3 linked regions of the Saccharomyces cerevisiae S288C genome follow. Changing the gene in region 3 together with the main gene of any one other region gives a genetic interaction. Each region holds a gene or a part of one and is shown on either strand. Other genes may lie near its edges.

Evidence for each region.
Region 1: mutations in ERO1 (region 3) and HUT1 together harm fitness more than expected from each alone (negative genetic interaction), as found in Saccharomyces cerevisiae (2 studies listed by BioGRID).
Region 2: mutations in ERO1 (region 3) and APS3 together harm fitness more than expected from each alone (negative genetic interaction), as found in Saccharomyces cerevisiae (2 studies listed by BioGRID).

The regions. Positions count from the first base shown.
Region 1 is NC_001148.4:86,514-89,814, forward strand, and holds HUT1 (UDP-galactose transporter HUT1), read right to left. Parts: upstream 1,521-3,301; coding exon 501-1,520; downstream 1-500. Other genes in the region: YPL245W (uncharacterized protein), read left to right, coding at 1-437; signal recognition particle subunit SRP68, read left to right, coding at 2,004-3,301. UniProt on the Saccharomyces cerevisiae protein: May be involved in specific transport of UDP-Gal from the cytosol to the Golgi lumen. Involved in the maintenance of optimal conditions for the folding of secretory pathway proteins in the endoplasmic reticulum.
Region 2 is NC_001142.9:395,431-398,186, forward strand, and holds APS3 (Aps3p), read right to left. Parts: upstream 1,163-2,756; coding exon 1,141-1,162; intron 1,064-1,140; coding exon 501-1,063; downstream 1-500. Other genes in the region: RRN7 (Rrn7p), read left to right, coding at 1-81; PET130 (Pet130p), read right to left, coding at 1,925-2,756. UniProt on the Saccharomyces cerevisiae protein: Part of the AP-3 complex, an adaptor-related complex which is not clathrin-associated. The complex is associated with the Golgi region as well as more peripheral structures.
Region 3 is NC_001145.3:10,983-14,891, forward strand, and holds ERO1 (ER oxidoreductin), read right to left. Parts: upstream 2,193-3,909; coding exon 501-2,192; downstream 1-500. Other genes in the region: YML131W (uncharacterized protein), read left to right, coding at 1-313; COX14 (Cox14p), read right to left, coding at 3,559-3,771. UniProt on the Saccharomyces cerevisiae protein: Essential oxidoreductase that oxidizes proteins in the endoplasmic reticulum to produce disulfide bonds. Acts by oxidizing directly PDI1 isomerase through a direct disulfide exchange.

The sequences.
Region 1 (3,301 bases), on a different chromosome or scaffold from region 3:
GGATGCTATCTACTTACGATTTTCCCTATCGCTTGGACGGAAAAGACTATTACGTTGAATGTGGTGACAATTTCAAAGTTCGCTGGGATCGCTATACTCCACGTGAAGTGACGCCTTGGAGTGAGCGTTGCGACACGATTGATGAGGTAGGTAGTGTGTATACTATCCAAGGGTTTGATCTGAATTATGCTGGTGTAATTTTGGGCCGTTCCATTGGGTATGATGCGGCTAATGACTGCATCAAACTAAGACCAGAGCTGTATGACGATAGGGCCGGTTTCACCAAAAAGAAAAACATTCACAATGCAGAGGACGTTAAGCAAAAGATTATTATGAATAGCATTAATGTCCTCTTAACTCGTGGCGTGCGTGGTCTGTATGTTTATGCATACGATCCTGAATTAAGAGAGAGACTGCTTCGTCCATCAAAAAAATAGGAAGTACATAGTATAGACAAATTTTATAAATATTAACTTTTATTTGTTGCGATCTTCACTAATCTACGCAGATTTTGCCTTCGGTATATTAGCCTTCTTCTTGTTGAGTGCTTCCCAAGTGATTCCACCAAATACTATAAACATCCCCACCCATTGCTGGAAACGTACACTCTTACCGAAGACAATAATACTCAAAATCATCGAGACCATTTTCCTGGTGACTGTTATCATGATCAAAACTAAAGAGCCAAATTGTTCTAGAGTATAGAAAATAAAGCATTGTCCCATAGCGCCACAGAACGAATAAAGCATTAAATAGCCCCACACTTGTGGGTCCATCGTCAATACAGAAACGGCATTATCCCATTGTTTGCAGTCGATCACAATAAAATACAAAATATTCCACAATATCACGAAGAGGTTCAGTGTAAACATCAAGTGTGCACCTGTTATCAAAGTTTGTTTTCCCTTTTCTTTGGCCTTATTGGCCTTTAGTAGCTTATCTTGGGTGGCGTTGGTCAATCCATCAAGGAATAAACTAGAGAAAAGTAGTCCAAACCCTTGTAATTTGTTATCATTTCCGCTCTCATTAAAGGATCTCTTCAACTTTTTACCATCGTTGCCACCTATAGTGAAAATAGTGACACCGAGACTTACCAAGAGAGCTACAACTTTTTTTTGGCTTGCTATGGGCGTCCTATACAAAAGCAAATGCACCAACAACACGGGGATCATCTTGCATGACTTTGCTAACATGTAAGTGAGATAATCCACGTGCTTTAAAGAAGTTGTAGCCAGCGGGCCTGAACTACTCTGTGTAAATGATATCAACATCAATTGTTTCCAATGATCTTTAATCATTTTTCTGGGCGGATATTCCACCTTCTTCCAGTTTAAGTACAGGTAGCCCATCATCATTGCCACAGAAGCTTGTATGAGGGATATTACATTAGGGAATTGAAACTTTCCCATGGAGTTTGGCCAGGTTCTTGTAGCCAAAGGCTCCTGTACTAATGCCCACGTCAAAAAAGTAGCATATATACCAATCGCACAGATCACCAAACTGGATGTACTTCCCGCCATACAAATATACGAATACTGCCTTGTTTACTTCTTCTTGTTACGTTGTAATTCTGGTTCTAATTACATTGCTGTCATTTTTTCATGTTCGATGGGATCTACAAAACAACCTTTAGAAGCGATCTCAGGGAAGCTTTGGAAGAGAAACAGCTGATGATTCTGGCATTCCACAAACTACAACAACGAACCAAACGACATATTCCATTGCAGTGATTTGATTGGGAGTAAGCTTTTATAAACGAGCAGACCAATATGATTTACGTAGTATTTCGTTGTCTTTACCACATCGTTGTTCGTGATAAGTTCTGAAAATTTTTTTTGGAGTATATTTGCTAGAGTTAATCCAACAATATTAGCATAAACGAGCAGCTGGAGACTAGGTTATTTGAATTATTTGAGCATCAAAGTGATCAATTGTATTATATTACAGTGTAATTTTCTTTTTTTCCATATTGAATCAAAAACTAGCCACGCTTGAAACTAAAGATGGTTGCCTATTCTCCAATCATTGCCACCTATGGTAATCGTGCAGAACAGTTTTTAGAAACAGACTCAGACTTCGCTAAGTATCATGCGAAATTGAATAAAAAGTTGCAACACTTGAGGAGCCGTTGCCATTTGGTCACCAAGGATACAAAGAAATACTCAAGTAAAAATAAGTATGGCGAAATTAACTCCGAGGATTATGATAATAAAACTAAATTGATTGGTGTTTTGATTTTACTACACGCTGAAAGGGACTTGGCACTGGCTGAAACTTTGAAATTGAGAGCTCGTCAAAGAGGAAAGTTAAAGAAAAGTGAAGAAAAGGTTTTATCCACAAGATTGAAGAAGGCCTGCAAGACTGCTGATAAATTGGTTAACGTCACTCAAAATGAACAGCAATGGATAACTCGTGCCCAATATTTAGCGTTCGCTAAATTGGTACATTCAGAGTACCTAATTAATGGAAAAAGGTTCAAGAGGAAGGACAATGCCAAAATTTCGAACAACCTAGCCCTCGTTTTCGCCGCATTGGAACACTTGAAGAATCTAAGCTTATTAGCTGAAGAAGTTGTAGATAACATTGTTAATAAATACCAGTACTCTCTCAAGCAGTACGCGGGAAATTTAATTACAACGCCCGAAATAAATAACTTTATCGTGGAAAGAGTTCAATCTGATGAGAACAAGGACGATGAGCTTGTGAAATTGTTATTAGACAATGGATTCAATATGAAAAAAATTACAACCTCAACTGAAGATCAAAAGGTTACCACTAACATAAACTGGAGATCTTTCAACGCCAAGATAATCGATGCTGAAGTTGCTCAATTTTTGGAACAAGGTCTATCTATCCACCCAACTCAGATTACTCAATATACACAGAGGCTATCAAAATTGGAGAAAGCTTTAGACCGTCATGAATTTTTCATCGCAAACCACGACGATCAAGATGACATAGACGAGATGGTTGAAAATAGTTCTGAAAACAATCAGATAATTTTAGCCTACATTAAATATAATATTCTTTTGACCTCTATATCTCGTGAAAGAGATTTGTTTACTCATTTATGGAATCAATGGCTGAAATTAAATACTTCATTACCATCGAAGTTAACCAAATATAAAGAAATGGAACGTATTGTGAAGAATTTGACAAAATATTTATCGGACATAATGGAGCTACCTGGTGTGTATTCAGATGACGAGCTGCTAAGCCAATTAGACTTATGCAAGCTGTATTTCCAGTTATTTCTGAATACGGGCTGCCTGAGTGTTTTATATCAGTCGAAAGGCAGATA
Region 2 (2,756 bases), on a different chromosome or scaffold from region 3:
GTGGATTTTGCCATTTCTAAAGAGCAACTGAAAGACTGCATTTCAAGGATCAAAAATGCCTGTCTGCATAGGATGAATTGACTCCTTTTAAATTATTCTCGCTGGATTGCTATTTCTATGCATACTCCTTGAATTACATATACCAATCTGCATATATTATAGGTACATATTAATATAGAAATGTATCCTATTTTACATTGTTTCTATAACTTTTACATTATCAGAACTTATTTTTTTCCTGTCAAAAAGAAAGAAAACTCATTCTCTAGACACAGCGAGATCTTACTTTTCCTAACGGTGTGACCATATTGTACGTACAATATTATCTATGTTTTATGACCAGATCTAGTTTTAAACAGAATTTTAAAGGGAGGGTGCCTAATTTTGTATTATATATTAAAAAAGCTGGGAAATGCCCGGCTCAGCTAATTTTCTTCAAGCCGGTTTTACGTGCAGATCTTGACGAACGAAAATAACCATCATCCGATTAATTTGTTTGTTTATTGCCCCGTTGCCCATTGTGCAAATCCGCCTTGAGCAAACGCTTGTAGTGCGCTTCCAAATCCAGTGGACGTTAGTCTTCCAATTTTACTATCTGTGGACTCGGCAGCTTTGTTGAGTTCGTCAACAGAAGCAACTATTCTGTTCACATTTGTTTCAATGACCATGCCCCCCTGCACGATTTCTTCTAATACACTTTCCAAAGTTTGCCAGTTAAAAATCAAATCAAGTTCATTGACTTCAGTAAAACAACGGTCCAATGATTCCACAAAAGTTTGGATCAGATCTAATATGGCCAGTTCTGATTCTTGATCATCCACGATGAAAGTGAAATATAGTGTAGCGTAGTTTTTATAGATGATTTGAATATCTTCATTGTTTACCTCATCATTATTATTTTCATTGCTTAACAGAAGCGATGGTGGCGTGACTAAAAAAGAACTTTGAAAATCGCTATTCCTTTGAGAAATCAATTCATATACTTGCTCTAATAGCAGTTTTTGCTTTGGAAGGTCGACCGGCGTGTAGAATTTCACTAATCTTGGTTGGCATTTCTTATTGACTATACCAAAAATGATGAATTATGTTAGTAATGTATAATTTTGGCAGAAGAAAAGACCCTTGAGAAATCTTACATACATATTAGAACTGCATGAATCATTGTGTAACGTTATATGTGTTCTGGCCTCTGTAACCCAGATCTGGTATAGTTACAACAGAAATGATATTGTTCCAGTGGACTATTTAAAAAAAATATACTCCTACAACGTAAGAGAAGAAATATAAAAAAGAAATGCGCAAGCCCGGAATCGAACCGGGGGCCCAACGATGGCAACGTTGGATTTTACCACTAAACCACTTGCGCTTACTTTTGATATGAATCTTTCATTCATACTCAATATTAATAAGCAAGATATTTTTTGAAATGAAGAACCTTAATCGAGCCATCGTATTCAAAAAGAAAGAAAAAAGACTGAATGAGAACTATTTTTTTATTGCCTTATAGAGAATTACTTGAGACTTTTTTTTTTTGCCTAAAATATATGACTTTATTTTCGCTTGGCCTTTCTTACCTCGTTTTGTGATTACTCATTACTTACATCAGCGTAAGCTTTCCATATCTATAACATTTATGAAAGTGGAACTCCTCATACTCAAAAGTTATTGCTATCCATTTATATTGTGATCTTACCATTAAGATATATAGCAGATCATAATGGCTTGATTCTAATACTCCTCGAGTATGACCATGCAACGGTTCAAAATCCCGGGTTGTAAATATTTCTTTTATCACGAAACATGAGTGACAACCACTTAGACTCGAAAGTGACGTTCTTGTATTTGCACATTCGATGATAAATATTTAAAACGTATATGTAGATACATAGTGGACAGCAAGAGAGATGCATGGTTGGCCCATTTCTCAGCCTTCTGTTTGTTCTCTTCTTAATTCAAATGGAAACTTGTTGATCTCGAGTATCTTGTTAATTGTTTGAACGTTTATACTGTCATTGAACGATTCTACCCAATTTTTGCCTTTCGTGCCTTTTTTTGGGGTCAAGAACCCATCCCAATCCAAATTGGCAACCTTTTGAACGCTTCTATTGACCTCGTCATTAAATTCTCCTAACATATCTTTATCAGGAAATATGCTAACAATGTATAAATAATAGCCGTCCTTTGCGGTTCCCACAGTACTTCTACCAAGGTTATCTAAAAAACTTTTCTTTGGCTTGCCCTTCATGCTAGCAGGATTAATATTTGGAGATCTGTTAAGATTAACGTACTCTCGAATGGCCTTATCACCATTTAGTTTACACCACTCCTTGATAAACGTTGTTTTCACCTTTAATTTTAAATCTCGTCTCAAGTACGCAAATTCAGAGGGAATACTGTTTCTATGTCTATTTGTAAGCCGTGTCATCGCTGTTTGAATTTTGCTTAGTTCGACTTCATTAGCTTTTGATATCCTAGTTTCATTGAAATATTCTTTGTCCTTGTTGAAAACCTTCCCATTTAAATAAAACTTCTTATTGGATTTTACCGTTATTGCTGGTTTACTTTTTCTAAAACAAGACATAAAATGGTCTTCAGGGAAGTAATGAAGTTGAAAGAATCTACTAGTGTATACCAATGAGTTAGGGGAAAATTTTTTTCCAATCGTCACATAGGCTTGGATGGGTGAAATTACACCTCGAAGTTTACCAGCAACAAATTTCACTGGATCCCAGTTTCTTTCTTCTTCTTTTTGTAAA
Region 3 (3,909 bases):
TATGTTGATAGCCTGTGGTGCTATAAGTGCCTATAATGATCCATCTAAATTTGTCTTTAAGGGGTATAGCTTTATTCTGACTAAACGATTGGTCGTTAAAGGAGTACTAGTGACAGATAATATTGATGATTTTCCAAAGGCATTAGATAAATTGGGTTCTCTGGTTAAGCATGGTAAGATTGACCTCTTGAAATCCGCTACCCTTGAAGATGGTACCGGTGATAAGTTCAAGAATGTTCCATTGATATGGAAGGGTCTATTTAGCGGTGTTAATAAAGGTAAACTTATTACCAAGGTTAACAATGAGGAGTGATTTTACACAAAAAGTTTAAGATATGACTATATTATTTTTATTATTGTATCTACTTCGTTTTGGCTCTTATAATTTTTTAGTGGCCTAAATTTTCAAAGGAAAAATTTATTGAATATTTTGAATGATATTTAAACTCTATATTTTGAAATCTATACATTGAATACATATAAGATAAACTGTGTTGCTCTTATTGTATATCTAGCTTATAGGAAATAGGCTCTCGTGTCTCCTCACTAACGTAATCAGCAACACCGATGAATTTATTCCAAAATTTGTATACCTTCATCAAAGATAATTCCCAGATGTTCCTGGGTAAATCCAAATAGCTTCTATAAATAAATCTGAATGCTTCTAAAACGTTGTTAACTTCAGTATTCCAAGCTTTCTTCCATTTATTTACTGTACCGTTAGAGGGCCTTGGAACTATTTCTGCTTTGGGCATTTTTAAATCATCAAATACATGTGATTGAGAATTGTTAGTCTTTTTCTTTCCTTCTTTAGTGGAATTGATGTTCTCTATGGTGTAACGAATCGATTTGCCTGCCTCCTTCAAAATGTTGAAGAAGTTATTTTGGAAGAATGAGCTTAACCTGTTTTCAGAACCGTTTAACCTTTTCCCGTACATTTTTTCGAACATGTTAACAGATTCAATAGATTCAGATAATCTACCGAAAGTCTGTAATAGTGCAATCAACTCATATTTGGTTAACTTACCAACAATATGTTGTTTGGTGAATTCATCAGCGTCGTTGATTTCAAACAAAATTTTCAAGGCAGTTGCGTAACCGGTAGTTTGAATTTTGCCCCACAATCTACATCTATCACATTGCACACAATCCATAATCTTCGTGACATTCTTGAAGCGAGATCTGAATTCGTCCTTCAAAGTCAAACTTAGGTCGTTGGCAAAAACTAAGTCTTCGTTAAAAATTTTTGTGTCCAGCTGGGAAATAACGTTATCCATTTTGTTTTTGATTTCTTTATTGACTAGATCACAGAATGAAAATTCTGGTAAATATGGTTGAATTTTCCAGAGAGCCTTAGCTACAACAGCATAATTGAAATACATGTTTGTCACTCTATCAGGAAAGTTCCCGATTCTTGCCATAAACAAATCCAGATTGGGCTCCCATTTACCAGTTTTCGTGTTCAAATATTCCTTTGATAAGTGAGTACCGATAGAGGCATGGAAACCGGATACAAGTCTATAAAATGCATCTTTGGCCAATGATTCACCAGTTTCGCCAATTGTAAAACAGTTGTCTTGGTAGATAGTAGACCAAATTTGACCAGCTTGCTTACCACCATAACCTGTAAATCGTTCCGGATTTGCTGTTAAATCAATCAGAACGGCGTTTTTACCGTTAAAGTCATTTACATCACAGTAGTTGATGGTGTCTTCGATATCTACAGGTTTTTTACTGGTTTGACATAGTTGATCTAAGAACTTACATTCGTCATCGCTATCATCCGCTTCCTTCATTGTATCATTATTGAAACTACCCAAGATCTCAGGCTGCCAGTACTCAGGCAGTGTATCCCAGTCCTCTACGACATCAACAGAGCAAGCGCGGTTTAAGCACAGACCATCGTTGGCGTCCCAAAATGAACATTGCTTGTATAAATCCAGCCGAAAGTATTTGAAGAAATCAGATTTTAATAACGCCGAAAGATCATCTCTAATGTTTTCATTTATGGCATTTAATTCATTGAATGTTACGTTACAACTGGGACTAACGTGATCATTCCTGTCGACCTTACAAAAGTGAGTGTCATTAAAGGCATTTTGTGTTTGGTCGGTGGCGATGTAGCTATTGTTTGAAGTTGCAGATGTAAAAGCCGTGAGGCACAGTGTGGCAATGGCGGTTCTTAATCTCATGTTTTACCTGCACGTTACTGTGGTATATGCAATAAAATGTTTACACTCTTGAAATAGTATAACCAGTTTAAGTGGTAAACCTTTTCAAGCTCTTTATACTTAGCTTCAAGGATGATTGAACAAGTTTTTATGACACGTACTCCGTATCGTTTCTTTTTTGTTCTCTTCTTTTCTTTTTGTTCTTACTAACGCCCAAAGCCGGAAAAATGCGAAAAATTTCCAGGGTCTTCTATAAGAGAAACCAAAGGACAAAGGGAAAAGGACATACTTAGCAGGTAGCTCAATATTATTTGTTTAATTAGAACAGTCTTCTCTTTGTGTATGTCTTGTACCATTGTCTGTGGTATTCTCGATTTGTGTAGAATACATTTGCCATAAAATGTCAGTAGACCTTTTCTCTGATACGCAGTGAATATATCAATTCTCCTACATATCCTATTGTTCATTGAAAATATGAAAAGTAAGCATTACTCAATAGATAGATAAGAAAATGATCTCGTTTCAGTTGTGAATATGTTTCAGAAGAAATGTCTTGATAGTATTGGTAATGTAGGATGGGCAAACCATATGTAAGGTAGGTGGTTGGCAATTTACTTTTTTTGTGTTGCCAGTATGTATATATGCTTTTGGGGGGCCTTAATGTTTACCTTCAAGGTACGATATTTAGCAAGCATTTCTAGTTCTTTATGTGGTGAATAAGTAATGTGTGTGTGAACTATGGCTACTGGATGACTATATTCGGCATTAGTATTTAATAAGGGTACGACTCTGAAGTATCAGAGTTGCATCATTTCAGACACACTGGAGGGATCCTGTTATATATTTTGAAATAAATAATGTACAATTTTACGGGTGTACACAGCACAAAAAGGAACGTATTCTTACCGCCGTGTTCTTTCCATCACGAAAGTGACTTCATTGCGATGTATTTTTCAGCAAGAATTAAGGTAATAAGATCTCTTCACAAAGCTGACTCAAAAGGCCTACATAATGGCAGTAAGAAAAAGTAAACAGCGAGAAATAGTCAGATAAAAAACTAGATGGCGAATAGACGACATTTTAGAAGAAAAGTGTTTCAGCCTTTGGCCTCAAACCTCAGTGGCAGTCTTTCCCCTGATAAGGAATAGGAAGGCATGCAGCGATATATATGTTAGTTTTGCCTACGGGAATCCGGCAGCAATGTTATTTATTTTTGTTGTTTCTTATGATTTAATTATTATATACAGGTTCGTAAATATTGGCATGATAATGAGGAGAAGGTGGAACCAGCACACTACGTCGATGGAGGCCCTTAGAATATAGTGCAACACTTAAAAATGTAATCTAGTACTTTTTCTTCATTTTATTAGCACTGGGTTCTCGCAGTTTACTCGGTAGGAGGTGCAGTAGGACTTTGCAGTTGTTGATTGTCTTCTTCAAGTGCCTTTTGTTGGGTCACTTGTTGTTCGTACTTCTTACCGTTCATGTATAAAGTGTAAGCTAAGCCACCCGACATGTATAACGTACCACCAACCAACGTCAGTACCGTTAGACGATGTAATGTATCTGTAACTCTGGTATACCAAGCGTATTTGGACATGACTATCTGCGTTCTATTTTTTGTTCTCTTCCTCTCACCATTGCCAAACCGCTGTATAGATTTATGCTCCTTTCAATGCATTTATTCTGATCCTCTCCGATTTCGTATACCGGGTAACATTAATCGCAAGGAAGGAGA